Rhinolophus ferrumequinum: one gene and its partners. The protein of the gene in region 3 interacts with the protein of the main gene of each other region in a biochemical or structural test. Links are inferred from orthologs where the notes say so. Each region holds a gene or a part of one and is shown on either strand. Other genes may lie near its edges.

Region 1 (10,266 bases), on a different chromosome or scaffold from region 3:
TTTATCCTGGCTGAGTCTCCCCACTGTGCCTCCTGGCTGCCCCTCCCCCACTACACACCCAGGCCACCTCCCACTGTCATCCGGTGTGTGATCAGGAATGCAAACTTACTATTGATCTAATCCACACAGAAGTACATCTGCTACAGGGAAAAAAACAAGACCAGAAACCTACCTCTATATAAGGCATTCCAAAGCAAAATAAAAGACCTTGGAATTACTCATGGCCACGGCCCTTCTAATAGAATCCTCTATCACCCACTCATTTGGCTCAGCCTAAGAAAGGAATCTAGACAGGAGCCAGGAGGCCTGGGTTCAAACAGCCACGTGCACGCATATCTCCTCTGGGTCCCCATTTCCTCCTCTTAGAACAGGTGCCTTTATCCACATCATCTGGAAGGTTGTTCCTACCTGTGAGAGATCTATGACCTCAAACAGTTCTGAAGAGTCTCACCAGGAACTGAGAACCTTTCAAACTCATCCTGCATGTCCTCAACACTCTTCCCTCCCTCACTCCCATCCCACCTCAACAGTCATCACTCGCCCACCCCCTTCAAGACAGAATGGGGGTTCAACCTCTGCCCCTCCCACCGTCCTCCCAGCCACCCTGCTCCACCCTGCACCCATAGGCACCTGGCTCAGGGCCAGCAGATACCAGCTCCTCCTCCATCTCCTGGGGTGGTGGGGAAGCCATGGCTGTGCCTTCCCGGAGAGCAGACACTTTCATCACATGTGGCAGAACCTGCATGAGAATTGAGAAGCAGAGGAGTGTGAGCTGGGGTCTAAGCCCAGGAAGAGAGAGAGGAAAAGGCAAGAGAGTTGGGCGCTGGCAGTAAGCGTGGTCGAGGGAAGTCTCCTACTCCTAGCTGAGGCAGAGTGTGGGACAGGAAGAGGGAACTTCAGAGGGGATGAGGGAGGTCGAGGGAGGTCCCCAGCTGCCATATCCTCAACTCTTCCCAGATTCCTCTCCAGCTCTGGCCCCCGAACCCCAAAGTCCTGAAGTTTCAGGTAGCTACCTATTCTTTCCTCCTCTGGTGAGCTAAGATACCCCACTTACCGTTCCCAGGGTACCCCTTGGGTCCAGCAGCCCCACCTGAGGTATATACTCAGGGGCAGAGCAAGAGGGCCCCAAAGTCTTAGTCTTTCAGTGAATCACCTCATGGGAGACGGGAAAAACCCGCTCCTCCCCAACCTGGGGCTCCGCCCCACTGCCAGCCTCCCCCTTTCCGCTCACCCTCCTTCCCTCCCTCCCTCCCTCCCTCCTGCAGCTGGGAGTGGTTCCCTCTTTCCCTCTTCCCCCCTCCCCCCTCCTCCTTCCATATCCCTGCCCAACTCCCGCTTCCCTCAGAGCTGTCTCATCCAAACACGGAAAAATAAGGAATAAGAAGTAAACATCTGGAATACATTTTTTTCTTTAATTTCTCAATCGCTTTGGCTTCAGCTTGGAATTTGATGAGGTAAAGCCAGGGCCTAGTCCTGTTGCCATAGCAATGGCCTCCCACTGGATTTCCAGAGCGGAGCCAAGAGGAAGGAGGAGCCGGCCCAGGCCTGGGCTGGGAGAATGGGACAAGGCTTGAGGCTTGAGAACATCCGGGAGTGGGGTGGCTTGGGGGAAAACACTCCGGGGTTCCCCCTTCTAGGACAGTGAGGATGGGACAGCCACAGCCTATGGGCAGCCTTCACCAGCCTAGGGTTGGCCTGAGGAGTTTTGAGGGAGCACAAGAAATTTTAAACCAAGTGACACAGCCCTATGGTAGAAACCGAATAAGCCAGTACCAGGAACAAGCTTCAGGTTCTGATATGCGAGGATTCAATATTGGGTAGGTCTACCACTTTCTAGCTGTGTGCCCTTAGGCACAGCACTTACTTCTCCAAGCCTCAGTTTCCCTATGTGACAAATGGAGTTACTGAGACTGTTGGGAGGTTTATGGCAGTTGATGCATGCAAACTGCTTAGCATAACGCCCAGCACATAATAAGTGCCCAATAAATATTGGCAATTATTAGTACAATTCCATTCGGTGTCACCAATGAGCTAAAATCCTTGGTAACCACCACCTCCTCTCCCCAGACCATTCCCTCACTCACACAGGTCCCAGTTATGTCACCTTCAGACACTCCACCACCTCCTTAGTTCTCATCCTGGCTGCTGGAGCACCATCCCACCCACAACACCCGCACCCCAGGCTTTGCAGCCTGGGGGACAAAGTACTGCCCCTCTTGTCACAAAGGAAGAAGGACATTTCCTATCACCTGGTATGCACAGAGCCCTTGAGGACAACCCAATGGGCACTGCCTTCCTCAAAGTCACCCACTGCAGCTGGTCTGGGAAAACAGCACCAACTCCTAAGAAAGGCCTTCTGATGCCCAACATTTGCAAAACTCGCCCACCCCTCTCCTCTGACCCTGCCCCAAGTTGCTTCAAAGATGGCAGAGAGTATGAAGAGCTAAGTAGAGAGAAACCCAGGACCATCAATTCCCTTGGTCAACCACCTTCCACAGAGGACTGCTCACTGTGGGTGGGTAAGTAACTAACTGCACAGCCAGCCCAAGAGTGCATGGGGGAAGGGCACATGATAGAAAAAATAAAATTAAAACACAAGATTGTTTCCTTGTCCTTGAACATTATCACAAGGGACATGGTGTAGGTGGTTAGAAATGCGGACAAACTGGCCCAGAACTGAAAAACTCTTTCACCTGGGAGCCTGATGGGCACCTCTGCAGTATGAGGGGGTGCAGCAATGAAGTGGGGGCTCAGCTTCCCCAACTGAGGAGGGGCCACAGCAGCTCCGAGGCCCCAGCCAGGAAACGCAGGTGATCAAGGCCGTTGCCAAAAGCTGCAGAATCACAGCGGCTCTGAGCACTCCCTGCAACCTCCAGGAGTCAGGGGGGGCCTATCTGACCCCCAGGAGCAAAGGCTGCCACAAGGGCTGCGGAGAGGCCAGGCAGCTCCTGCCCGGGACAGGGGCCCCGAGAGGCATCCGCGCAGGCGGGGTCGCCTCTACGGTCCCTGGGATCTCCAGCGGATCCAGGGCCAGAGAGGTAGGCAGGGGCAGCACGTAAACTGCTGGAAGAGGGAGGGCCAACGGGAAGACGGAACAGCCTGGGGCGAGGGGCCTTCTGGAGAGGCCCAGTGGGGAGCTCTGGACACAGAGGGGATGGCAGCAGCCGAAGAAGAGGAGGAGAGGGTGGAGGAGGAGAAGGGGGTGGCAGAACGGGAGGACCTGTACGCAGAATGTGAAGCAGCCGGCGAACAGACGGGGGACTGAGGACGCAGACCGAGTGGGGGCGGACTGGGGTGGCTGGGGGCGTGCCGAGGGAGCCGAGGGAGGGGGCTAGCGCGGGCCCTGGGGAAGGGGGAGGCAGGGGTCCCTCCAGCAGTTCCGCCCGCCCCCGGCCCCGCCTCAAGCCCTCGCCCCCTCCCCCCTTTCTTCTGGATCGGCCAGCACGAGCTCCAGACCGTGCACCTTCCGGCCTCGCGCACATGCGCCAGCTCCCGCGTGTCCCCGGTTTCCCCCGCGCCCCCGGCCCCTGCAAACTTTCCCGTTCACCCCCCTTCCACCTTAACCCGAGGTCCCGGCTGAAAAGCACCCACTCCCTCCATGCTTCTCCCCCGCCCCAATCCCGGACCCCGCCCCCTCCTTCGCCCTCCTGCCCGCCCCCGCGCACTCACGCGCTCCCCCGGGATCCGGCTCCGCTCGGCTCGGGCTCGGCACCCCGACGCCAGTCTCCGCCACCGCCGCCGCTGCTGCCGCCGTCACCGGGGACCAAGCCAGAGCGGGCCCCGGCGGGGCCCCGCCCTCAGCTCCGCCCCAGCTCCGCCCAGGCCCACACCCCTAGGGCGCTTCATGAATATCCATGAGACAGTGAAAACCCGGAGTGGGAAGCCCGTGCAGAACTCGCCTGACCGTATGCAAATAGCAGCAGCCCAGGTACTCAATTATTCATGAATCTTGCAAATGAGGGGCCCGCCCCAGCCTCAGACCCGGGTAAAACTGACGCAATTCAGCCGCTAAAAACGCTGGGGCAAAATGGCCACCGAGACGACTGCCTAGAGAGGAGACTTAAGCTGACGGCCCGATTCTCAGGCCCAACGGCCTGAACTGATCGCAGTACCATAGAGTCGCGGCGAGAAAGAAGGTAACCCTTGGCCGACTGCGGAGGCTTTCTGTGGCAAGCACCTTAGAGCCTACCCAACGTGGCCACCCCACGTGTGTAAATTCAGATTTGGAGCCACAGTGAGGAAGACTGGAAGCTCTATTTCCCTCACTACTCCTTATTTATCTCGTTATGCTCCCTTCCCAGATATAAATTCTTCCTGACCTCAAAATTTGATATACCCTTTTTCATATAAAAACAAAAGCTACCTCCACCCCCACACCACTCATCGTCCCAACTCTCCAGGATCAGGTTTCCAGTGTCTTGGTTGCAGAGAGGCCAGTCAATCCTGATTCCATTATCTAAAGCCTTGAAGACCCTTGACTCATAGGTGATTAAGGATGGAGCCAGTAGCTGCCTCTCCTTAGCTTGGCTAATGGAGTGGAGCTGTGAGAGAGACTTCCTAATCAGATCAGCTCTCATTTCTAGACTCTCAGGTGGCCCATCCCTGCTGAAGAGGGTGAAAACCAATGCTTGTCCAGCCGGGAACAGAACAGGATGTACCTGGAGACTTGCTTCCCAGCTGGCCAGCAAGGCCTGCCCAGTCACAGCAGTGTGGTAAACACCACCAAGAAAAGTGGGCGCAATACAACAGGGCTAGAGAGGAGGCATAAGGACATGGTTTCCAAAGTCAGTTCCCTTTATTAAATGATTTTCACAGAACCAGAAATACAAAATTAAAGTAGAAATTGGCCCCCGTTAGGAGCTACAGGCCTGACCTCACACGACCCCAGCTGCAGCAACTTGAACAGGACAAGCAGCAGCTATATCCCTAAGGTCGGGAAAGTAGGGCGAGGATTTGGAACCTGCACTGCCCTGCCTCCCACCCAATCTCTCCCCCAGTTATGAAGAGGCATCTTCGTGAAGCAGCAACCCAGGAAGACGCCTCCCCTGCTGTCCCAGCCAAGTGCACACCACCAGAAGAGCTTGTTCAGATGGCACAGAATCCAAAGACTACACTTCATATGAGAAACTGGTACCAAAACATGAGTGGGGAGTCGGGTGGGACAGGGCAAGCCCAAGGAGAGAGTGTTTTCCTCCTCTCTACTCATCAGATCCTGACGGCGAGTCTTCTGAGCTGGGGGGAGTACTGGCTAATTCCTCTTCTTCAGAGTCCTGAAAATGAAACGTCTCTTTAGGGGAAAGGTGGAGAGTCCCGGCTGCCCTCCCAGCCACTTGTCAGTGGTGAAGGGCCCCTAATTCCCTACCGTTCCCTAACGTCCAACACTAGTCTTCAGAACCCCAGAATTCCACCTATCCATTCCATCCCATTACTGCTATGGACCAACCACAATCCCTGGTGCAGAAGCACCTGCTGCCACCCCCCATACCAATTCAGATGCCCTTCACCCTTCCAAGCCCCACAACCCCCAAACTCCTGCCACACCTCACTCTGCCTTCTCTTCTTTTTGCTCTTGTTCTCTCCTGAAGAGCTCTCGTCACTGGACACAAACTCTTTGCTCTTGAAACTCTCACTCAGCTGCCTTGACGACGACTTGGATGACGAGCCCCTAGAGGGCACTGACTTCTTTTCCATCTTTGCCTTTACTTTTTTCTTCTTCTTTGACTTGTCCCTATTATTAGCAAGAGGGAAAAGGTTTCCCCATCATCAAGGTCAAACCTCCCCCAGCTTTACCAGGGCCTTTCCCAGTCCCAGCCACACTGCCCATCTCGTGTCATCAGCCAGCCATGTCAGCCCAAGTGCCCCAAGAGAGAGCATCATAAGTGAAGAACAAGAAGAATCAGGCCTCACAGCCTGGTTATATGCAAAACTTAACTTGACATCTCTTGCTTTATCGTAAAAATTCGTATGAATTAGGCACCATAGTAACATATATATTTTTAGCTACCCCGTACCTTCAAATAAAATTGACCCTCTAGGAAAATGGGCCATATTTATCCAGCGACTTCAGAAACTCTCTAGCACAGTACCCATACTGGGCAACTGCCTACCCAGGTTTGAGAAGCACTGTCCTACTGAAGTCAGAAGCATCTCTGTTATATTTAACTTCCCAGTTCTCAACTTGGACCTGCAAAAAATATCTGTCAAAAAAGCAGTTACTGGGACATTCTGTTCCCAACACTCACCTCTTAGAAGACTCACCCCGGCCCCCTTCATATTCTTTCATGGCTTTTTCATATTCCCTCCTGGCATCCTCAGCCTTGCGATCCCACTCCTGTCCCACACACACAGGGGTCGGGGGGTGGGGAAGAGAAGAATTAGATTGTTCCCTGACACAGGCAAAACCTATACAGAAGTTCCACCAGGGCCCTCCACCCCCTCTACCAGTTACAAGATTTACCACCCCTCGTCTCTGCTGGTACTCACCTCCTTCTTCTCTTTGGACATCCCCTTCCAGATCTCGCCTGCTTTCTTGGAAAGATCCGTGATGCTGATGCCCGGATGGTCTGACTTGATCTTCTCTCGGCTGGCGTTGAGCCACAGCATGTAGGCAGACATGGGCCTCTTGGGGGCATTGGGGTCTTTGCCCTTCTTTACCTACACAAGAAAGAACCCAAAGGCCTTCAGCACTATAGCCCACATTCTCCCTCACATTCTCCCAAAGAAATTACTTGGATCCCCTACCTAGGGACAAAACAGAGCAAGGACTAAACTGCATCAAGCTGCCTAGGAGCTCCCTAAGGGCAGGGACCACGTCTTCCTCCCCTCTGCACGCCAGTACCTAGCTCATTAGGGGCCCCTTTCTTTTGGGCTCCCAGGACAAAAGAAGCCCGTCTCCTAGGTCAGAACTCCCAGAAGCTAATTATCTCAAGGACTAGAGAGAAATATTTGCAAGAAGCTACTCCTCAAGGCCCTAATCACTGGCTACAAAAAGCAGCCCCAACCCACAGGCCCTAAGGGTGGTGGACGGGAGAACAGGGAGCAGCACCCCAGCACCCTCCCATTCAGGAGAAGCAGCACCTCCACAGGCTTCTTGCGGCTCTTGCGATCCTTGGCTATCTTGGCCTTTTTAAGCTGTTTCCGTTTCTTCTCATCTCGGTCACTGTCACCCTCATTACTGGAGGAGCTGGCAGAGGCGTTGCTATCAAACCTGCCAAGGAGAGTGGGGCTTAGACTCACTCAGGGACAGAGGATGGCACCCCATGGTCTCAAAGCAGGAAAGGAGTCCAAAGACACCCACCCAGAAATGGGGGCGGGAGGACCACAGGGCCGCCTCCACCAGCATCCCCAACTCTTCCTGCCCTTCGCTGAGGTGGCTTCAACCATGCCCTCTCCAGACCCAGCTATAGCAATGGGTTATTTGGTCAATCAGTCAAAGAAAAGCAAACAGACTTCATCTGCTCCCCTTGGTCACAGCCTAACCCAAGGCCTCCTCCATCCCCATGCTCCCGGGAACGGGGACAGAAACGGTCTCAGCAACATGTCCAAGTCCACCTCACGACTCCGGGTTACTCCTCTTACTCTACCCTTAGTCTCTCTGATCAAGAGACAGTTACTATAAAAAGTGGGAAAAAACCAACTCCACTCCAACCCAGCCTGCACTGATGTTGTCACAGTCCTACCGGACACACACAGGACTCCTCAGAAAACAGAACTGCCCAAACCACACGGTGCTCAATGGTTCTCCCTTTCATAAGCCTTTAACTCACAGACTCACTATGAACAAGCACGTGGCGCCCAGAAGTAGTGGACTCCTATAGATTTTCTTCTTTTTCCTGCCCAACATTCATTCTGAGTTCTTCTGGATTCAGAGTCCCAACTTTCTGTTGGGAACCACCACGCCCCATGCAGAAGGGGCCAACCCCACCACAGGCCGTGGGCACACGGCCTAGTTCTAGCCCCTCAGAGCGTATCGTCATAACTCACACTTGGGAAGGGCCACGTAACCACGCTGCTTACTGCTGCTCTGAGCGCAGAAGCATTCCTGGGTGTTAAACGAGTAGGATTAAGCCTGCCCAGAGCTTCTGAGGGTCATCTGGCACTGCATGGGGCAAACCTACCAGAAAATAGGGAAATCAGAAGAAAGAGAAAGATTCCCCACAGCTGCTGAGTGCCTGATCCAGGTGCCTGAAGCCAGTCACACCCCTGGACTCTCGTTACATGAGCCTACAAAATCCCCTTTTAAGCTACAGTCCGTTCAAGTCCTATTTCTGACACTGGCTATCAAGAGTCTTGATCAACACAGCACGGGGGCACTATTGTCGTTTTACAGTTGAAAACGCTGAGATTCAATGATGGACCCAAGGACTCCGGCAAGTTAAGTGGGGCAGTGGCTCTCATCCCCAGTCTCTCCCCACTATACTTCTCTGGCTTCACAACATGCCGTGCACTTACAAAGTGCTTGACGATTTGATTTTTGAAGCATTTCCATCTATCACCTCACTGGAGGTCACTTTTCCACCCTGGGTCAGTAGTAATGCTGGGACACAAAAGATGTCCAGAAATCTCTGGTCCTTTAAGCTCAGAGGCCATCACGTCACCCCCATAAGGTGGAACCAAAACTCACTCCTCTGCCAAGTCTTCCTCCTCTTCACCTGGGTTAAACGACTCATCTGGAAAACGACACAGAAGGCATCAGTTGTGTGCCATGGAAACCCTGCCCCCTCACCCAGATACCCAGACCTGGACCGTCTGACCACCCCATGCCCGGGCACGGCCGAGGCGAGCCCACCGGTTTCCTCTCCTGAGTCATCGCTGCTGTCATTGGCGTTCTCTTCCCGGATCTTGCCCTCCTCCTTCATCCGCTCCAAGTAGGCATCATGCTGATCTTCATCCGAGTCGGCATATTCGTCGTAGCTTGGGTTCATGCCCTGGCCGCCAGGGGAGAGGACAGTGAGGGCCGACTGGCCCTGCTGCCAGTACCCCTCCCTGCACGCTCGGGAGCACTGCCCCAAGCCTGTGAGTTCACATCAGAGCAGCAACTCCCAGAAGACCTGGGGCTGGATTGTCCACACACAGCCAACGTGCAGGGCCTTCGCCCGACCACTTCCTGCCAACTGGGTTAGTCCAAGCCCCTCCCTCCCTCTCCCAGCCCCACTGGGGGCTTCTCAGGGACTGCAGAAACTGAGCTAAGGTCATGCTGAGGAAACCTGTACCAGGAGGGGGTAAAGGTCACACGCACCTCTTTTTTCTATAAGGGTAAGAAGAGAAGAGAGAATGAAAAAGCTGGAAATAATCCCTGCCCCTTTCCCCACTACAGAAGGACCGGCAGAGGCTCATCCTTTCCACACACAGAGGTACCTCTTTCAATCCCCGGTTTTTGATGTTGAGTTTTTTTGCGTTGACAAAATCAAACAGCTTCCCATACTCCTCCCTGTGGGGGGAGACGCACCGTGTTACCAGACAGGCAGGGCCACCAAAGGGAGGACAGACCACACGTTGTTCTGACACCCATGGGCTGGGACAGACTGTGGGGCCTGGAGCTCTTGACCACATTATCCACCCCAACAGCTCAAAGACACTCTCGGAGAACAGCAGTAAAGAGTCAGACACTACTCTTGAAAGACGGACCTGCATGGCTCTCAAGAGGTCTGGGAAAGAAAAGGTGGGGAGGGGTGTGCCCTGGTTATCACACATGCACAAAGCAAGAGGACGATATCCGGGGAGGGGACTTTTCATCCTTTTACTCGTTAGTATTTCATACTTCACAGGGTTATGAGGATTAAGCGTGAAGATGTTTGTAAAACGTTAGCCCACAGTGAGCACTCGATAAACATTAGCGGCTGTGTTCCCGGGCAGCAAGCTCATTCCAGGAAGAGAGACAGATAGCATTTCCATCATGGGGGCAGTGGAGGAGGAGAAGGGCTAGCACTGTACACAGAGCTTCCGTAATATGGAAAACAATTTTAAGCACAGAAAACAGCAACGGAGACGCTTCCAAAGGCTGAGCACCAAGGACAACCAAATCCCAGGGACGCAAAAGAAAAATTCTGCTCAAACTCAAAGGCTTGAAATCAGAGATGAGTCACAGGCCTGGAGAGGACCCCAGGCCGGGCCAGGCCTCCCAGTCAGAACCAAGATGCCCAGGAAGTGACCGGCAGAGGTTCTCAGCTCTCACCTCTCAATGCTGCTGAAGGTATACTGAGTGCCCTGCTTGGTCTCAATTTCAAAGTCAAAGGAACGTGTGGTGGTGGTGCCACGGGCAAAGTT
Region 2 (9,794 bases), on a different chromosome or scaffold from region 3:
TCTTCAACGTATGGTATCTCAGAGAAAAGGTCTAGAACATCAATATCTAATAGAAATATGATGTAAGCCACATATGTAAATTCAAATTTTCTGTTAGCCACATTATGAACAATAAAAAGAAACAGGTAAAATTAATTTTAAAAACATTTTATTTAACCTAATATTTTCATACCATTTCCATATGTATTCAACATAATAAAATTATTGTGATATTTTACATTTTTATATATGTGTGTGTGTACACTCTTTCAAATCCAGTGTGCATTTTACACTTATAGATCAACTCAGTTCAGACTAGCCACATATCAAGTGCTCAATAGCTCCCTGTGGTTACTGGCTACTATACAGGGCAGTACAGGTTTAGAATGTCTTGCATATTAACAATTACTTTTTAACACAAAAATGGCAATTTACAACAAGACTCTTTGAATAAAGAAAATGAACTCCATGTTACTTTTCCCATACCTTTGCTGGCAGAGATAAAAAAGAAAATTGCATATTCTGTTGTGATCAAAATTGACAGGTTTAGGTGGTCCCAATTCTGCCAACTGATCCGTTAACTATATAACCATTGAGAACTACAGTACCAAATGGGCACAACACAGGACATGGCATGTAGTAATTCAGAACGAGTATGTGAAGTAGCCCGCAGAAAACTTCTACATTTGAAACCAACGATTTTTTTTTTAATGGAGGGAGGGAGAGGCTTTTACTTTCAACCAAAAATAGAATAGTGTAATTCTAACTACAGGCCAGAATTAATTTGGCAAACATAAATAATTCAAACATACATAATTCCTGTTGCAATGAATGATTTGTAAATTACACACCAAACTCAATACAATTTATGAATCACTACAGTAAAATTTACACAATATCTTGACATGCAAATATCAATTAGTGGGTTAAGGTTCCCTCTTTAGGTGCAAATTTATACAGAAATAAACTATTAGGAAGGTAACATAAGAAACATAAAAAGAGTAAAGATTTGAAACTAAATTAGATATTTCTCTCCCTTAACAATTCTTAAGAAAAAAAAAAGTGACAGACTAAATTTAGAAATACGTGAGTTTAGATTATTATCAGTGAATTTAAATCATTTACCCACTCAACCAAGTATAACTGAAAATGAAGTAATATTGTACTATTTAAAATTTGTGACCACTCAACAAATCCACACTCCTACTGTTTGCAATACTTTCTCTGAAAATATCTAGTATTAATTACAATTCTACTTTTCAAGTAAGTCACAAGGTCAAAAACAAGTTGTTTTTTTCCAGATAGATTCAAATAAATATCTTTTTAAAGGACCAACTAAGAAAAATATAAGCATGTAACAGTTAAAATATCAAATTAGAGAGATTTGAAGACTTCTTATCTTGTTCCAATTATTAACAGCTAATGTTTAATAAAGTAGTTTTTACTCTTTATTTATTCAAAATACACAAAACAAGAAATGTTCTATATAAAAGCTATCAGAGACAGACAAGAAAAATACGTCAAACCTTACAACTTTTGATATACAAACACCTCCCAAAATAAAAGCAATGGCTGGTAAAAGAAAGAATAGAGAGATTGGCTGTAATTTAGCAGATACATTTTAGTATTTCTTAAGAAAGAGTCCCAAATTGAGAGCTGTAATGTAAGTAAATGCCCTAATGTTTTCATTTTTAGCTTTCCTTCTCATGCCCTGTTAAAATTCCACTTAGAAAGCACAGGGCATACTGGGAAACAAAAGCCTTCCATAAAAACTCATTTCAACTAAATGGGGTCCAATGCTTTATTTTAAATAATTATTCCCCTTACTGTATAGCAAGCACTTCCCTTAAAAGACATTACTGGATGGCAATCTATGGCCTTCATAATCTTCATACTCAAGCATTAAACCTTTAAATTTCGCCCCCAAAATTGTGGGCTTTGCATTTTAGTTTAACAAAACATGAAATGTGAATGTGAACAAATATAATCTTTTAATCATATCAAACACAAGTTTCATAGTCTGCAGTCATTTCGTAAATAAGAAAGGCTCTGCTGATAATTATCTGCGTGACCTCGGTCAAGTCATAACTCCCATTCACGTCTTAGTTCTTTCACCCTATTCTACACTTCTATAATTCTAAATTATAAATATTTTAATTAACAGTCATTTAACAACAGGTTTTGTTTTAATTAACCCAAAAGGTAATATACACTAAGTAGTCCATAAATAAGCACAAGTGGTTGCAGCAGAACGTTAGTAAGGTGGTTTCCATACCCACAAAATTGTTCCTAATCCATCCAGTTGGTTCCTTAGGCACAATCAGAAGCCAGGAAAAGGCTCAGCAGCTTGTTACTAACACTGGAAAAAAAAAAGCATTAAAATATCCAACTGACAGTGTATCAGACATTTCATGATAGTAAATGGCTAATACATAAAATAATATTGTCTAAACAGATCAATATTGTGAAAAAATGTAATACTTCCTTTTTCTTCTAAGTCAGATGGTTTTTGGATCCTTTAAAAAAAAAAATCTGCCCAATTCTTCTTACAATTCAAGTTGGTGTAAACTGAAACAAAATATTTTACCAGTTGACAAATGTCTCCTCAAAGAAAAAACACCATTTTTTTCCTTCCTCTTGTCTAATGACCAGCTCTTTGGAAATATAGTTTTCCTGATGATTATAATTCTATCCAATTTTTTCTTAACAACCAGTAAATAACAAAAAAACCTAAAAATGTCTACCATTATTTTCATTTTGCCCACAACTCACATTGGCTCATTTGAAACATAAATTCTAAATCAATAATCGGGCTTAACAAAATGTCCCAATTTAAGATATACACAGCTAAAACAAACATATTCAAAATCTATTTCTAGAGTGGCTTTCACTCTTCTGGTTTTCTCTTTAAAATGAGATTTACCTGACCTATTTTCATGTGTTTTTAAAACATCCAGGCACTTATCACAAACGGTATTTGCTGGTCACAAAAACATCAAAGCCGGTATCATAAATCCTGTGTGTGGGGTCATTTTCTTCATGCGTCCTAGATACCACAGTCTTTTAAAAATCTAAATATAGATTTATTTTTTTTTTAAAAAAAAGTCTTCCAATTTCTCTAATTATATACTGCTTTCAATGCCAATGTTATACTTTCACATACTATTTACAAAGTAAGAACATGGGGTGGGGGAAGAGCCTGAAATGTCAATCATACAAAGACAAAGCGTTTTCTATCATTTCTTGGCTTCTTCTCCCCTCAATTCGTTTCAACAATTCAAAAATATTACTTAAACAAAATGTAGGTATACCATCGAAACTTAAGAAATAAATACTCACTAAAATAGTACTTGGGAAAAGAAATAAAAATATATACGAAAACGGGTAATACAGGGGGAAAAAAAATCTAGTTGCCAGAATGTGTGTGTCAACTCAAAACAATTTTGCACCGTTTCTCTAGACGCCGGTGGAAAATAAAATAGCAACAACAATGGAAGACCCGTACTCTTTCCGACGGGATGAGGGGTAGGGAGAGAACTGCGCACCCAACAACCAGAAGAACAAAGCAACAGCCTCGGCTTTAAGATGCGCTGGGGTGTTGGAGGCTCAAAGGGTATTTAGAGATCTCTTAATTGTTCGGATGCTTTAATAACCATCAAAACGACTCTGATACGCAGCGCAGGGTTTAACTAAGACCAAGTGGTGGAACTACTCTTCGTATAAGGCAAGACCCAGACCCTGAGCAGGGCGTAGGGGAGAAGGAAGAGAAAGAAGCAGTCAAAGACACTCCGGAAAAAGACAAAATGCAGGGACTGTACACCCTGGATGAGATTTAAACCAAGGCCCGGATAGAGGCCTCCACAAGGGAAATAGGAAGCAGGATACCCCCCAAAACCATCGCCGCCCCTAAGTGTTGAGGCCAGAAGGTTCCCGGGTAGAGGCCTGACACCACGGCCGAGAGGAGAAGAGATGGATCTGGCTGCCACCAAAGGTAGCGACGAGGACCCCGGCGGAAGAGGCTGCGCAGTAATGGCCGCTGCTCCGCCTCTCGCACCCTGACCGTGACCAGCTCCGGGCCGTCGCCCAGGACAGGGGCTGCGGCGGTAGCCGGCAACGCAGAGCCCGTCACAGTCTTCTTGCCTGCGACACCAGCCACAGTGGGGGCGGCGGGAAGGGCTGAGCGGTCCCATCCCATCCCGCCCCGGGGCGGACAACCGCGGCCGGGCAGGCCCAAGGGCGTCCACCAACGTACCGGCCCCTGGCCCCGCCGCCGCCCCTCTCAGGCCCAGAACGCAGGGCTGACCCGGAGCGCGTTGTGGCAGGAGGTGACACCGAGGGCCATCGCTCCTCTTCCCGAGTCAGGAACCAGGAGTGACTGACTTCCACCCTGCCCCCCGCGAGGGCTTCGCCCCGACTCCCACCTCTCTGGCCACAGCCGCGGTGGCCTCGCAGTCTTTTCTCGTCGGCCTCGGAACCCGCAGCGGCCGGGGACGCGCGCGGCCGTCACGTGACCGCCCGTCGTGTCGCGGGGGCGGGGCCGCGCGGGGCGGAAGCAGCACCGCGCACCCGGGAGCTCTCGCTAGCCCCTCCCTACCCACTCTTCCCCTCCCGCTCGCTGCCGTTAAATCGTGGTGCCGGTTGCCTGCCTTTTCCTGCCTTTGGGGAGCTATAGTTTCGTTACCTGGATTCTTCTAACTGCTTTATATTTTGCTTTAGTTGTAACTGGGTATAAAGACTGAAAGTACGGGTCCCACAGAGAGAGAAAGAGATTTGGGGCCAAGGAAGTAAGACACGCACAGGACCAGCAGATGGGGCTGCTCAGAAACCCAGCTTCCAGACCTAGCTGGATTTGGGGTTGAAGAGCTCTTGGCGAAGTACTCCTTGTTCTCTTTCAAAAAAAGGTCCTCTAGGACGTTCCAGTTTATTCACCGTCTGGATGGTTGAGTAATTCAATCGAAAAAAAAAAAAGAATCTTAATTTTTGTTTTGGGCCATTTGTCTTAGGCATAGGAAGCTGGAGGAAGAGATTAATCAGTATAAGAATCTAAAACTAAAGAAAATGGCTTATTTTGTTGCATGCCTGTGGTTTTAAACATCAAAATCTAGGCAGTATCCTCCATTTCATTTCAGCATATACATTATCTTTTTCGAAACTGACTGTATTTTCTTCATTTGTTGTAAAATGAACAGGGCGGAAAAGCACGCTTTTGTCTTTTAAAAGAGTATATGTGAGTAAATTTCAACATTCCAGGCCAGTATCTTTTTACTGGCAATGCTATTGCATTTGAGATCTCATTAACTGTTTATTCAAGGCTGGAAGGTTTCAGTGTTCTTATATATAGAAATGTGTACATTTTCTTTTATTCCTCTGAAATCAACGTGTGTGTGTGTGTGTGTGTGTGTGTGTGTGTCTATATATATATATATAGAGAGAGAGATGTACTAGGTCAGACAATTAAGTTCTCAAACTCATCCTAGAAAAAGTGCTGCATTCCTCATTGCTGAATATCACTACGGTCATCTTTAAAGTACTCCCCTTGGGAAGTTATGCCCAGTGACACCAGGGCATAATCCACCCTTCAAAGCAATTTTGGAACTCTTTTTCTGGAATGCCCATCAGAGTTGTCGTCCTATTACCCTTGATGTCCTGAATGTCATCAAAATGTCTTTCTTTAAATATTTCCTTTATCTTTGGGTAAAGAAAGAAGTCATTGGGGGTCAGAGGTGTTCCAATGCAGTTATTTGTCTACTTGCTAAAATCTCCCTCACAGACAGCGCCATGTGACCTGGTGCATTGTCGAGATGCAAGAGCCTTGAATTGTTGGTGAAAAGTTTAGGTCGTCTGACTTTTTCACGCAGCCTTTTCAGCACTTCCAAATAGTAAACTTGGTTAACTGTCCAGTTTGTATGAATTCATAATGAATAATCCCTCTGGTATCAAAAAAGGTTTGCAACATCATTGCAACAAATTCTCGGACTTAATTGTCAGACCCTTCATGTCTGTGTGTGTGTGTGTGTGTGTGTGTGTACACACACATATAAATGTAACCAATTTTTGAAGAATGCTATCTAGCTCAGTGATGATTTTACTCAGGTAAGTAAAAGCAACATTTTTATAAATTCTTTAAATGTGGTATAAAATTCTTTAAATTCTTTAAATATTGAATAATTATTCAATTATATAAATATTGAATAAATATTTATAAATTCTTTAAATATTGAACCATATATTCCCCATCTTTAAACTTAATCCCCTATCTTTATGCTCTCCTTAGCCATCCAGTTTTACCCCACTATCTTACACACCCCATGAAGATACTACCAAAAATTTGATACGTACTTGAAGATTCCAGCTCTACGAGATAATACTACTATTAACTAACAATGTGCAAGGCATTGTTTTAAGTGCTTTACATGTATGAGCTCATAATAAACAGTGAGGTAGGTACTGTTGTTATTCCCATTTTACAGAAATAGGCTCAGCTGGGATTTAAATCCAGACAGGGACTGTAAGAATTCACCTTGTTCAATTCTTCATTTTATCAATTAATAAATAGGTATAACAAATTAAATGACTTGCTTATAATCTTTTCTTGTTGAAGATAGAACCGGGATCAGAACACAGGTATGCTTCCTGATCCATAAATACTTTTAATTTAGGAAAAGTTATTCACAGTTCTTCAGTTGTTCTAGGCACGTATTTTAGAAGTTTCACTAAAATAATATAATTTAGATTATGTTTATCTACCTATCCATCTGAAAGCAAGAAATGAATTAATCAACAGGAATCCCACTAAAATGCCCTACCAGGCTTCCAACCCTCTCAGCCACACCCATAATCGTGGTCATTTCAATAAATAGCTCCATCTTTCCTTATCCAAACCCATTTTTAATTCCTTTTGTTTATGTCCAGTATCCATTTTGCAAATAATCTGTTGGCTCTTCCTTCAAAACACACCCAGAATCTAACTATTGACCACCTCTATTACAAACAACAGCATCTCTTGTTTGGATTATTGCCATAGCCCAAAGCCTGGTTGTCTTGCTTCTGTCCTCCCTTTCCTTTGAGTTTATTCCCAATACAGAGGCCAAAGTAAACTTATTAAAAAGGAAGTCAGATTACACGACCCCTCTACTCAAAGTCTCCCATGGCTTCCCAAAACAAAGTAAAAACCAAAGTCCTTAATAGCTTTAAGACTCCCCTTATTACCTCCTTGACCTCACAAACTGCTCACTCAGCTTAGTGATCCAAGAACACTCTACACAAGGTCTCAACCTCAGTTTTTGCAGTTTCCTGTGCTTAGAACTTTCTTCGCCATCATGGCTTCCTCCCTCTGTTTGTGCTCAAAAGTCATCTTTTCTCTCAGTCCTCTACTTGCCACCCTATTTTAAATTATGACCTCTCCTAGTCCAGATATTTCTTATTCCTCCCTTTACTTTTTCTCTCTAATACTTATCGAAATGTAAGGGATCATTTAGTTTGCTTATTCATCTTATATATCTCTCTACACTAGAACACAAATCACTCAAGGGCAGGGATTTGTATTCTATTTTGTATCCCAACTGCCAAGAATAGCGCCTGACACATTTAGACAAGCTCCCTCTGAATATGTGCACACACATTTATATACCAAATAATATATAAATGAAGAAAAACTTCTTGTTATGTGTCAAGGCATACTACTGCATATATAACTTCTTGTTATATATGCAGTAGTATGCACCCCACCTCCGCCAGCCACCTGAAAGATACTGATGAGTTTTTATCTATGAATAATATAGGACAGCACTTCTCAACATTGTCAGAAGTGTTTTTAAAGTAATTGGTTTCAATAATTTTTAAAATGCCCAAACTTTCAAATGATTTACTTAAAGAAATCAGAGCCTAAAAAATTTAAGGTATGTCTGTAATAATGTTACTGTCACTGGCATTCTATTTTGCTTCACTGAATCAAAGATAAAGGAGTTGCAACAGACTGCTAGGAATTGCTCATCTTTCATAACCTAATGTCTGTTTCCCGCAAGTGTATAAAATGCTTTCATGAATACCACACATCTATCTCCAGGCACCCCTTTTCTCTGTATTCTCTCAACACTCAAAAATGTTTGATGTTATTTATTTTGCTTAATGATCAAAATATTCTTTTTGTTTTGTTAATATCTGGAGACATCCATGAAAATGTGCATGAGAAAATCATACGTGGTATAGTGGAAAATGTACTGAAAACCATTGATACATGTCATCTAGGGCAGTGCTTTTCAAAATGTTTTCTAGTGTTCTCTGGGGTCCTTGAGATCCTTTCAGAGGGTCCCAGACGTGAAGATTATTTCAATAATACTATTAAGATGCTAGCTGCCTAATACACTCTCATTCTCTCTCTCCAGCATACAGTGGAGTTTACCTAAGGCTACATGATATGTGATGTAGAAACATATTGAATGTAGATGCAGATATTAGAATTTGCCTATGTTTCTTAAGCCAGGCATTAAAGAGATTTGCAAAGCATAAAATAATGTCGTTTTTCTCACTCAGTTAAGTTTGTTTTGGAAAATAGTTATTTTTCAGCAAACACTTATGTTAACGCTTAATGGGCTTATTATTTAAAAATGAGTTAATAAATATTTTAAACAGTTCTCAGTTTAGTTTCTAATTTGGTAACTATTGATAGATTAACACTCATATTATATAACAGTTCTTTTGAGTCTTCTGTAATCTTTAAGAGTATAAGGGGTCCCAAGACCAAAAAGTTTGAGAACACTGGTCTGGGGCTATTTTGTGTACCAACCCTAAGCTAGATTTCTTCCCACATGCCAGCAATCATCTGATAACTGTGGACACAACTTTCTCATATGTCTGGAAACAGAACAAACCAGATTCAGGAATGTGCCAGTCATTATAGCTAGCAGATGAATAGAAAAAGCCAAGGGGAAGTTTTGGAAAGCAAACTTTTCCATTTCAGTTGAAGAGCTTGCTCCAAGAGCTGATACATACCTTGGTCTCTTGTACCATTTGGCGGTGTTCTACTTACAGTAATCAAATAATACATACTTTTCTAGTAGAATTCCTTTGTAAATAACAGTATAGTAGACAGTTTTTCCTTTACCTAATGTGATAATTAATGCTCTGACTAGTTCTCAGTGTTCTTACTGCAGCCCCAGAAGTTACAACTAAATTATAACAATTGTATGCCTGGGAAATAGCTCAACACAAAACAGTTATGAGTCAGTTTTACAATTTAGTTGTAGAGTTAAGCATGTCTTTCCTAACTCTGGTTGTATATATGCATGATATATATATTGGTTTTCAGATGTCTTATATTGACAATATTAGCTATTAGTTTATCTACAAAGTCCATGCTTGTTTCATTGTGTGATATGACCTCATTGAGTGTAGTATTGAAAAATAAGAATGAACGTTCTATTTTATTTTTTTGACAGAATCATTTGTTATTTTAAAGCTAGGTTATTATTTTAATAAAAATGACACTTAAACAGTGTACCCTATTATTACATAAAGGAAATAACTTACAGTCGTAGAGGCAGCAAGCGTGTTTTCAATGCCACATTTTCCTCAAAGTGGTTGGAATTTAACAAATCAATGTGAAACAGTTTTGTAATTATGCATATTTGGGCTTTTGGTTGTTTATTTATGGAATTATATGCATATCAATTATCAGTTTAATACAATTATAACCTAGAAACTTGAAATATTTTCATAGCAGTGTATCAGTCAGTGTCCTATTTAGAAAACAGAAGACACTGTATTTCTAAGGGAATGTAATGCAGTGAATTGTTTGCAAAAGTGTTATAAAATAG
Region 3 (10,385 bases):
TAATTATCACAGTCCAAAATGGGATAGAAAGGTTCTTAATTGTGCTGCTGGAAAGAATTATGGTTACTCTTACGATAATATTTTTAAAAGTCACAAGAGTTTCCTATAAAAATGGTTTCATTTCATTCCACACACTCGACTGCAAACTCATTTTCTTAATGGAAATACAGGCATGAATTGACATTCTTCCTTTCAATCTCCATTTGGCTAGCTTGGACTCATCTTTTAAATCTCTGCTTAAAAACTCTCTTTATCTACAAAGACTTCCTTATGTTCTAAAATCAGTACAAGAGTCCCTATTACCTGCTCCAACAGACAGCATGCAGTACTTTTCCTATCACTCTGAGTTACACACTTTGAGGGGTTTTGTTATTATTGTTCTTGTTTAGTCTTCCGCACTAGACTGTAAGCTCCATAATGGTAATGACTAGCTGTCATTTCAAAATTGTGTCAATATTTTTAACACCTGATCTACAATAAGTAATAAAATGTTTGTGGAAAACTGAACTAGAAATTTTAAGCTTTTCCCTCCAAGGGATTGTACCAATTTCCTATCTTTAAAACAGCTATTCCAGGACAACTGAATGACTGGCATTCTAACCAACTGATAATCAACTGAGAATTACTTTTAACTATGCAGCCTATCCATGGTGGAGAAGACTAGACTTAACAAAGCTTTAACTCTATGGACACAAATGTAGGGTATGGTAAACTGACTACAGGGTGTTACTATGTTTTTACACCATGGAGAGTTTTATACTGTGTTTGTTTTGTCTGTTTTCCAGAAATGAAGTAAAAAAATTTTTTCTACATAAACCAGTTCAAGGTTTGGTTCTCATAACTACAGTGTAATTATAGGACTGTTTGTCTTCTAGCTTATCTGGGTACACATAAAACTTTAAAACAGAATAAAAAGTAACTATTGTGACAGAAGAAGTGATTTGGGAAACAAGTCTATTTTATGTGTGGCTAATCATACATAAGTACATTATTACACAAATAAGTATAACTATCATTTGTGATTGCTTACAATGCAGTATGCTGAGGAATAACAAGATTTGTGAAACAATACCGTGTTTCCCTAAAAATAAGACCTAACCAGAAAATAAGCCCTAGCATGATTTTTCAGGATGATATCCCCTGAACATAAGCCCTAATGCATCTTTTGGAGCAAACCTTAAAATAAGACCTGATCTTATTTTGGGGGAAACACGGTATGTTAAAATAGTCAACTTTGGAAAAGTATGCAAAAATAAACAACTTCAAGAATGGATCCAGAGGGGAAAGGAGGTCAAATACATGGTGATGGAAGGAGAACTGACTCTGAGTAGTCAACACACAATACAATATATAGATAATGTATTATAGAAATGTACACTTGAAACCTATATAATTTTACTAAATAATGTCACCCCAGTAAATGTAATAAAAAAAAGAATGGATCCAGTGATCTAACAAATGATTTCCTGTATTTCACATATTGCTGATCATGAGCCATTAAGGAGTCACAAACAGCATTTGTAAAAAATGAAATGGAATAGGATATAAATATCAGAATGCAACATACACGTATGTAATGAGGGAAAGTATTGTTTCCTGAAATTTTTTTTGATTCAGTTTGACGTGTATGTGACAATGTAAAATATGTTTCTAAGTATAGACTGCAATTAAAAAAGCAAACAACAAAAAAAAAGTGTGAATGCTACTCTTGGAGTATATGCCCCCAAGTAGAAACTCTCCATCACAATTATAAAAATGAAAAGTGACATTAACACAGGTATAGGTTATAATAGCTTAAGCTTGATTTCACAAGCTCTAAAATCAAACTATTTTGAGTTAAAATACAGGTTTCACTACTTCTATGAATTTGGATTTATTTTAAGAGTATGTGTTTCACTGTTGTCACCTATAAAATGAGGATAGTACAGGGGTGTCCAAACTTTTTTCACCGTTTTTCACCAAGGGCCATATGCGGTAAAATACACAAACAGCCGGGCCACTCACTCGAGGTGAAGTATGTATTGCCTCACCTGGTTTATTTAAGTCAACTAAATATATTTTTGGAATTTGCTGCGGGCCAATTAGCAATGGATTGTGGGCCACAGTTGGCCTGCGGGCCACAGTTTGGACACCCCTGGGATAGTATCTTCCAAGTTGTGGCAAAAATGAATAATACACAGAGTAAGTTCTTAACATATGTTTTAACAAATTAAAGGCATGATGTATATTAGAAACATACCAAGAAACTTAACAGAAGGTAACTTCTGCTTGTTATCTGGGATGTTTGTGTGTGGGTGGTGCTTTTACATTTTGTATATTTTTGTCCTATATGAATTTTATAATGTATATATAACATGTACGTTTCTAATGTAATGTTTCTGATGTACATAACATTATAACCTTTAAGAAACATCAACAGTAGCTATCCTGGCAGTGAGATCATGTCCTTTGTTTTTGTTTCCTATTTCTGTATTTTATAAAAACATATTAGGTGTTTTTAAAATAAAATAGTCAATGACTGGCTTTAAAAAAAAGTGTGTGCTCCAGGATTTAGGAATTAGCACTTGGAGAACTTATGTGCCAAATGCGTGACTAAATCAGGGTTTAGGAATTAGCACTTTTTGGGAGAACTTATGTGCCAAATGCTTCTCAGTAAACCCTCACACAACCTTAGTAACATAATTTTTGCCATGGGAAAACTGAGGCAACTGACATGAGGTAAACTGTCTGTTAAACAACTAACAAATACCAGTGTCCTGAACTTCAAAGCCTATATTTTTCTACTACCACATCATGCATCCAAATATTCTTCTCCAGTTATTTCATAGAGGCATATTTTGATCTACCCAGTGAAGAATGTAAACTCCTTGAAAAAAGGGAAAACTCACAAACTTCACTCATGTCTTTCACTGGCTTAGAGACTGCTACAGATCCTTAAACATTTGAGTTACATTCAATTTCTTGTGGTCTAGACCGTCCTCATGGGACATATCCTGATCGTAAAAACGAAATAAAGGAGCAAACAAACAGCAAAACTACTCTCTAAGACTGCCCAAATCTAACTTTATTCTTACACACTTGGAGCTGAAAAAGTTTAAGTACACCCATATGCCGAGACTCCAACTAAAGGGATTTGGGTGGGAATGAGTACAAGTATCACAGATGGATCCCCACATTCCCCTACCACGCCCCCCCATCCCACCCCACCCACCCGGGTCACCAGGCACTATCTAAGAAAGGAACCTCTATCTAGTCTTCCGGCGAGGTGTTAAAGAACCATAACCACGCCCACATTTTGTTCCATTACAATAACTTTTCTTTCCCTGCCGGGACCCCTGTCCCCAACGCCGAAACCCTTAATAAATAATTCAAAAGTCACTGACCTGCAGCGAAGTGCAGGGGAGAAGACTTCCGGCCGGCCATGTCCTTAGCATTCACGTTTGCCGCGTCCACCAGCCTCTTTACCCGGGACACGTCCCCATTGCGACAGGCTTCCAACAGTTCTCGTAGGGCCCCGCTCACTGCTGGAACCCCTTGCCCAGGTCCCGCTGCCCCAGGCCCCAGTGTTGCTGTGGTGCTAACTCCGGCCGCCTCGGGGCTCTCCGCCAAGCTCGATCCAGGGGAGGATGGAGAGGAAGATGAGGAAGAAGTCGGGGAAGAAGAGGACGACGGTGAATTGTTACTACTACCGCCGGCTGGGTTGGGAGCGACCCCAACGGCAGACGAAGCAGAAACCGCCGGGACCACGGGAGCGGTGGTGACAGTACAGATTGTGCTGGTGGTATTGCAACAGCTGGTACTGTCAACCGGGTCCGGGGATCGGGGCCTGTCGGGCGGATCCCGACTGCCATCCCCCTCCGGCAGCGCTAGGCCGTGCCGCGGGGAGGCGAAGGGGACCAGGCCACCCGCCGTGGGGGAGGCTGGGGTGGTCCCGGGGGCCAGGCCGGGGCTGAGTGGTGGGGGAGGTGGCGGCGGCGGCGCCGAAGCCCCTGGGGCGGGCTGGAGCTGTTGTTGATGATGGTGGTGATGATGCTGAGAGCGACGCGACGCCGCCATCTTCGGACTCCCCCAGCACTGTCACTGCGGCAACGGCCCCACCCCCCGCCCTCACTTCCGACTGCTGGACCAATTAACATCCAGCGCACAGGAAATGATGCTAGTGGAGTGGGAGGGGTCAAAGAGAAGGAGGGAAGTATTGGGAACTCAGAGAACAGCCACGGGAAGGGGGCGTGGCCTTGTGACTGAGGGGCGGGCTTTGTGACGCTTTGGCGGGCCCGCCCGGGAGATTTGAAAGGTGAACCAGCCTGTGCCTAAATGGGAAACTTTCCTTGCCTCTCTCCCTTTCAGCTTACTTACCTAGCCCTACTCAGTTCTGTTGCTAAATCTCCTTCAGTCTTCCTTATCTTGCCCCAGAGCCTGCTATTCAGGTGTAACTCAGTACAAGAAGAGAATGTGTCGTTTTTCATCTAACAAGTGTCCTCGACTGAAAAAGGGAATAGGATCAACCTCACAGAATTGTTAGCGGGATTAAATGAGCTAACATATACAAAGTGCTCTTGTCGTTAATCAAACGTAACTATAATTATCCCATTGGTAATTTTTTCCCATGAAGTCCTTCCCCCACCCTTCCCCAGTTATTCCCTTGGTCTCTATATCTCTTATTTCTAAATTTTCTCACTCTATGTACTTTGTTAGTACTCCATTCTAAAATGTGGTTCAGATTACCAGGACTGGAATTCAAGCTCTGCCAGGTACTAGCTGTTAAATTTGGGCAAGCTGTTGAACCACTCTGTCTCTCAGGTTCCCCTCAGCAAAATCCAATTAATAGTTAAAAAAATATATTATCTATTAAAATTATGATTTTTCTATAACCTATGTATTTTTATTTCTCACCTTAAACTCAACTCAAATAATTGTGAATGTATTCCTTTCTTTTTAATTCTTTTAGGCTGAACCTCTCCTCTCCTCCATTCCTTTCACCCCTCTTCCCTCCCCCTCCCAAACTAAGGTAAAAACCTGTCTGTTATCTATCACTCATCTTCAGATGCCACTCTAAAGCAACTACTTTTTCTCTTTCCTTTGCCTGTACCTACTTCCTTTTGTCTGCCATCAAAAGAGATGTACATTGCATGGGATAATCTCACTAAGGTCTTCATTTCCGGCCTCCTATCCAGTCGTAAACTAGGCTTGTGGAACTTTAGACAAACAACATTATTCCAATAGAGTGGACCCAGATGGAGATTCTGTTTCAAGAAAAAAACCCACCAAGATTTAGGTGGGTCAAGTAGAAGTTTAGCATTGCAGAATATTAATCCAGGTGATAAATTTTTTTACATGCTATTAAATATAATTAGTGTGGTGTTAATATTCCCATCTAATTGAAGAGGTAAATTTATTTAGGACTACCATTGACATACAACAATGTCAGGAACATAATTAATATTATGAGTGACATTCTCATCTAATCTAGAGTTATAGATTATAACTAACATTATCCATCTGTTTCATAAATGTGTGCCATTGTTCACAAATTGACAAATGTGTGACTGGATAGGAAAACCATCAGTGAAACTAAAATCTGTCCACAACACACATTCTCCTGGTTTTGAATCTTAAATTAATGCACAGCATAGGATAGCATTGAGAAGTGGGGGTGAATCAATGTAATACATTAGACATCAATAACTCTTTCTGCCCCCTTGACTATGGCCTTTTCTCCCTGAATGGAAGACATAAGGACTATCTCACCTGATCCCCTGTTGGCCAATTACTGATATAGATCAATTACTCATAGAACACAATAAAAAGTAGTAATGTTCGCCCTAATTTAAAGTGTGTCTAGTATGTCTGTTTGTCAGTATAAAGTAAATAAGAAAATTTCTGCTGGAGAGAAAAGGTTGAATTGCCTGAAACAGCTCTACTGACTGGTAAACTGCCTAAAAATACATTCGATCAATTGGAAATTTCTTTTATCCCCTCCAGTGAAAGAAGTAAAGGTACTTAACATTAAGTATTTATAACGTTTAGATTTATAACAACTAATATTGAGCTCTAAACACAAAAGGGCATATATCATTACCTAATCTTTTACAGCAAAATACAATTCCCTGAGGAATGAACTATACCCCAGTGAGGAAAGCAAAGTGTAGAGTCAAACAAACCTGGGTTGGAATCATCTGTGAAGATTACTAGCTGGCTAATCTTGGTAGGTATGCTTCAGCTCTGTTACTCTAAAATTCTGTTTTTATTGTCATGAGGATTAAAAGACCTAGGTGTTTTCTAAGCACTCCCTGAATGTTATTTTCATTCTCTTATGTGGCATACATAAAGTTTTAATAGGAACTCATAGTCACTATTGATAGCTATCGCCTCACAACTTCATTTATGAAAAAGATAGTGACTGGGAATAAATATCCACCATTTTACATGTCACACAAATCTTAAGCAAAGAAAGATCAGGTTTAATTGTCTCCTCATCTGAAAATTCAAGATTCTATACAAGCCAATATCTCCAAGACTTGTTGAGGATCATACTTTTGTAGTTTCTTACCATTTTCAAAAATGTTTTCAGAAAAATCATGTCCAAGTGGTATAAAAATGTGAGCGCATAGCACTCTCTTAAGTCATATTGTTGACACAAAAGAAAGAGCCACCAACTCAAAGGGTATTCACTCACCTGGACTGTGCTGTGATGTTTTATTTTTTTCCCCCATGGGGATCATATGGACACACTTTCTAAGTTACACAATCATAAGCTTGCGCAGTCTCCAAATTTCAGTTAGACTTGGTGTGTTTATTCCATCCATATACTTCTCATTGGAGAAGTATAACTTGGATCTGCCCCAGATCCAAGTTCACTGGTAGTATCTCAGATCTATTAAGTTTCCCAAGCCATGATGAATGTTGAACCCCAAGACTGCCTGAGGGGTCATGTACTACCACATACTGACCATAGGAAAACTCTTACCCCTGGTGAAAATTGGAGCAAGGACTTCTGCGAGCAGAGACCACCGGACTTACTGGCTGGGATGGGAATAAGTGGCAGCCAAGCAGTGAGAGGTACCAGTCAATACCTGAACACATAGTGTGTGCCTTCTACCTACTGTCTTCTCTTGCTTTCTTGCAGTTGTTTGGCTTGAAGGAAATAAACGAGTGAAATCTGAGCTAAGTGGTGTTTGTGTGCAATTTCTCTTGGTTTTGCCTACTCCTTCATATCTTGTCTTTGTTTTGATGGTGTTACTCAGAAAACACAGTGAGTAATCTAGAAGTCATTGAACCTTTCTGTAAACCCATCAGCAAGGTGGGGATATTAAGAGTTGTGAGACATAAATGAGTTAATATGTGCCAAGTGCTTAGAACAGTTTCTGGCACATGATAAATGCTATGTAACTGTTAGCTGTTGCTATTGCTGAGAACTGGGGAAGGCCTCTGGTATGAGATGTGAATAGGTTACCTGGGAGACATGACTAGTTTTGCCTGCCTGCCCAATAACAAGCAGGTTTGTTTTCACCCAGTAATGTTGACGTCCAACCTCTCGTACCTACTTCTTTTGCGTTACAGTGCCATAAAGGAATGTCTATCAAGCTTGGAAACTGAAAGGGCCTCTTATATTTGGTGAAATGCAAATTGTCCCTTCTGGTTGTATCAGGGTGTGGGGGAGGTGGAGAGTCTGCAAAGGAGGACACCTCAGCCCGGAAGTATGCAAGTTTATCCCTCAAAAGATTCTGCAATACCACAGTGTTGAGAAACCACTGTGGCTTTTGTGTGGGAGACCAGCACAGCTGCCAAGACCACCTCAAGAGAAACCAAACTCTGCCGTAGTTCCTCAGGTCCCTGGGACCCAGGATGTTTGCAGAAGAAATCTCCCACGGAAGATGAGCTTACCACCATAAATCACCACATATGTGAGGAGGGCCAAAAACATAAGGAAAAAAGCAAACCCAACAAATGAAAGGCACTATAATGGAGGAAATATAATAGAGCAATCCAAAAGAAATTTTAATATCCATATTTGGAGCTTGTAGGCCAAATAATGACACCCGAAAGATATCCATGTTTTAATCCCAGGACTCTGTGACTATGTTACCTTCCATGGAAAAATAGATTTAAGCTTGTGGATAGAATTAAGGTTGCTAATCAACTGAACTTAAAATAGGGAGATTTAACTGGGTTATGTGGGTGGGTCTCATGGAATCACAGGTGTTCCTAAAAGGAAAAAATGGAGACAGAAAAGGAGATTGCACTGATACCATGTGAGGAAGACGCAGCCATTGCTGGCGTTGAAGATGAGGGAAGGGAACCACAAGCCAAGAAATGGACAGCCTCTAGCAGGTGAAAAAAGTAAGGAAACAGATTTTCCCTCAAAGCCCTGGAAAGGAATGCAGCCCTGCCAACATCTTGGTTTGAGGCCAATGAGACCCATGCCAGATTTATGACTGCAAAACTGTAAAATATTAAATTTGTGTTATTTTTAAGCTATGAAATTTATGATACAGCAGCAATAGAAAATTAATAGAGGACTTCTTTGGAAACTGAGATGGCATGAAGCCCCCACCCCCCAGCCTAGGTTTCCACATGGCAATAGACTAAAGTCCCACAGTTGCTGCCACTTGGAATTGCCACCATTCCTTTTGCTAATTTATATCTATCCGGCTTTACTCAGTTAAGGACCTGGTCCCTATAGGCAGAGGCATATTTTCTGTGTGCCAGGTGCCATACCATGTAGAGATTCCCCAAATGAATTAAACCTGGTCCTAAATGTTGAGTGTTTGTGGTCTAGTGGGAAAGATAGATTCATAGACAGATAATGTCAACACAATGTTGTGAGTGCTCCAAGGGCAGTGCATACAGGATACGCTGGGAACACAAAGCAGTGTGTAGCCCAGCCCTGGGTAAGCGTACAAGGAGGCCATGACCCCATGTCTCAAACAGTGAGATCCTAGCTTCAAACAGCAGCAGTATCACTATCACAGAGTACATTCAATGGGAAAAATGAAAGTATATTTTTGTGCTGATAAGAATGTAATAGAAAGAGGGAAATTTCATGATGCAGGAGAGAAAGGAACATGACTGGGGCAATGTGTTCTTAGGTAGGTGACAGCGTTGCGATCTAAAGGACAATCACTAACTGTTCATCCTTCGTATCAAGGAAAAAGACAGAGTATGTGGGCATAGATGCAATAAATGACTATATATCGTGGTGCAAGATTGAGAAAGACTCTTGATTGCTTCTACTTTCTCAGTGAAATAGAAAACAAACAAAGGGAGATTTTCTGTTTCTCCCTGCATCTCCTTGGCCCAAATTGGGTCACGTGCTCGTTTCTAAATTAATTGCTGTTGCCAGGAGAACTCCATGCACTGACTGACTTGGGCTTGTATTTCCAAATCAACCAACTCTAAGGGAGTTGGGCTTGAACTGATCATGACCCACTCCAGGGATCAATTCCCCAAGTGACGTGGCTAATGTTTAATGGGAAGAGGAAGAATGGATTCTGGGAAGTCACACATATGTCCTCCTCACTTTCCACAATCACAGTTCCCAGCCCAGGCTGACCTCAAAGCCCTAAGCAGAGTATATTCGTTTCCTAGTGAGTCTATTCAAAATTACCACAAATTTAGTAGTTTAAAACAACACAAATTTATTCTCTTAGCATTCTGAGGTGAGAAGTTTACAATCAGTTTCACTGGGATAAAGTCAAGGTGTCAATAGTGCTGGTTTCTTCAGGGGGCTGTGAGGAGAGTATCTGTTTACTTGACTTTTTCAGCTTCTAGCAGCTGCCTATCATCCTTGACTTGTGAGCTCTCCCTCCATCTTCAAAGTACATCACTCCAATCTCTGCTTGATCATTACAGCACCTTTTATCTGGTTCTGACTCCTCTTGCTTCACTCTTAAAAGAACCATTACATCTGGGTTATTACATCTGACTCACTCAGATAATCCAAGACAAATCTCCCCATCTCAAAATCCTTAACTTAATCACATCTACAAAGTCCCTTTTGCCATATAAGGTAACATTCGTGGGTTCTGGATCGAGGATGTAGAAATATTTGGGGCAGGAGGGCATTATTCAGCCTACTGCAATGAGAATGCTCAACCACTCCTTGTATAAAGAGCAGAGAGAGGCCTGCCCTAATGGGCAGCCTTGGGTTAGTTTACAACATGGAAGGAGAAGGACAAGACAAAGCATCATATTCAGTCAGAGAACTGTAATGGGGTTAACACTGTCCTACTTCAGGGGTCTATCAGCTTCCTGGCCTCATGTGATCATTTAGTGTCAGAGATCTTGATTGCCTTTGTCTTCCACAAGACATCACACTGGCCCATCACATTGATGAGAGTATGCTAATTGGACCTAAGATATTTGGACCTAATAAGATAATTTGC

The links.
Region 1: the proteins of TNKS (region 3) and TNKS1BP1 form a complex in vitro, tested with the Homo sapiens proteins (2 studies listed by BioGRID). The link is inferred for Rhinolophus ferrumequinum from reciprocal best matches to the Homo sapiens genes TNKS and TNKS1BP1.
Region 2: the proteins of TNKS (region 3) and RNF146 form a complex in vitro, tested with the Homo sapiens proteins (3 studies listed by BioGRID and IntAct, with this or other methods). The link is inferred for Rhinolophus ferrumequinum from reciprocal best matches to the Homo sapiens genes TNKS and RNF146.

What each region holds. Positions count from the first base shown.
Region 1 is NC_046294.1:11,762,322-11,772,587, reverse strand, and holds the start of TNKS1BP1 (182 kDa tankyrase-1-binding protein), read right to left. Parts: upstream 3,824-10,266; 5' UTR 3,670-3,823; intron 1,193-3,669; exon of another isoform or gene 1,055-1,192; intron 740-1,054; 5' UTR 725-739; coding exon 631-724; intron 1-630. Other genes in the region: FACT complex subunit SSRP1, read right to left, coding at 5,199-5,270, 5,542-5,728, 6,243-6,331, 6,484-6,654, 7,078-7,207, 8,624-8,669, 8,789-8,927, 9,358-9,430 and 1 more.
Region 2 is NC_046286.1:75,587,309-75,597,102, reverse strand, and holds the start of RNF146 (E3 ubiquitin-protein ligase RNF146), read right to left. Parts: upstream 4,514-9,794; 5' UTR 4,401-4,513; intron 4,364-4,400; exon of another isoform or gene 4,232-4,363; intron 2,281-4,231; exon of another isoform or gene 2,255-2,280; intron 1-2,254. UniProt on the Homo sapiens protein: E3 ubiquitin-protein ligase that specifically binds poly-ADP-ribosylated (PARsylated) proteins and mediates their ubiquitination and subsequent degradation. May regulate many important biological processes, such as cell survival and DNA damage response.
Region 3 is NC_046287.1:68,250,298-68,260,682, forward strand, and holds the start of TNKS (poly [ADP-ribose] polymerase tankyrase-1), read right to left. Parts: upstream 4,088-10,385; 5' UTR 4,057-4,087; coding exon 3,384-4,056; intron 1-3,383.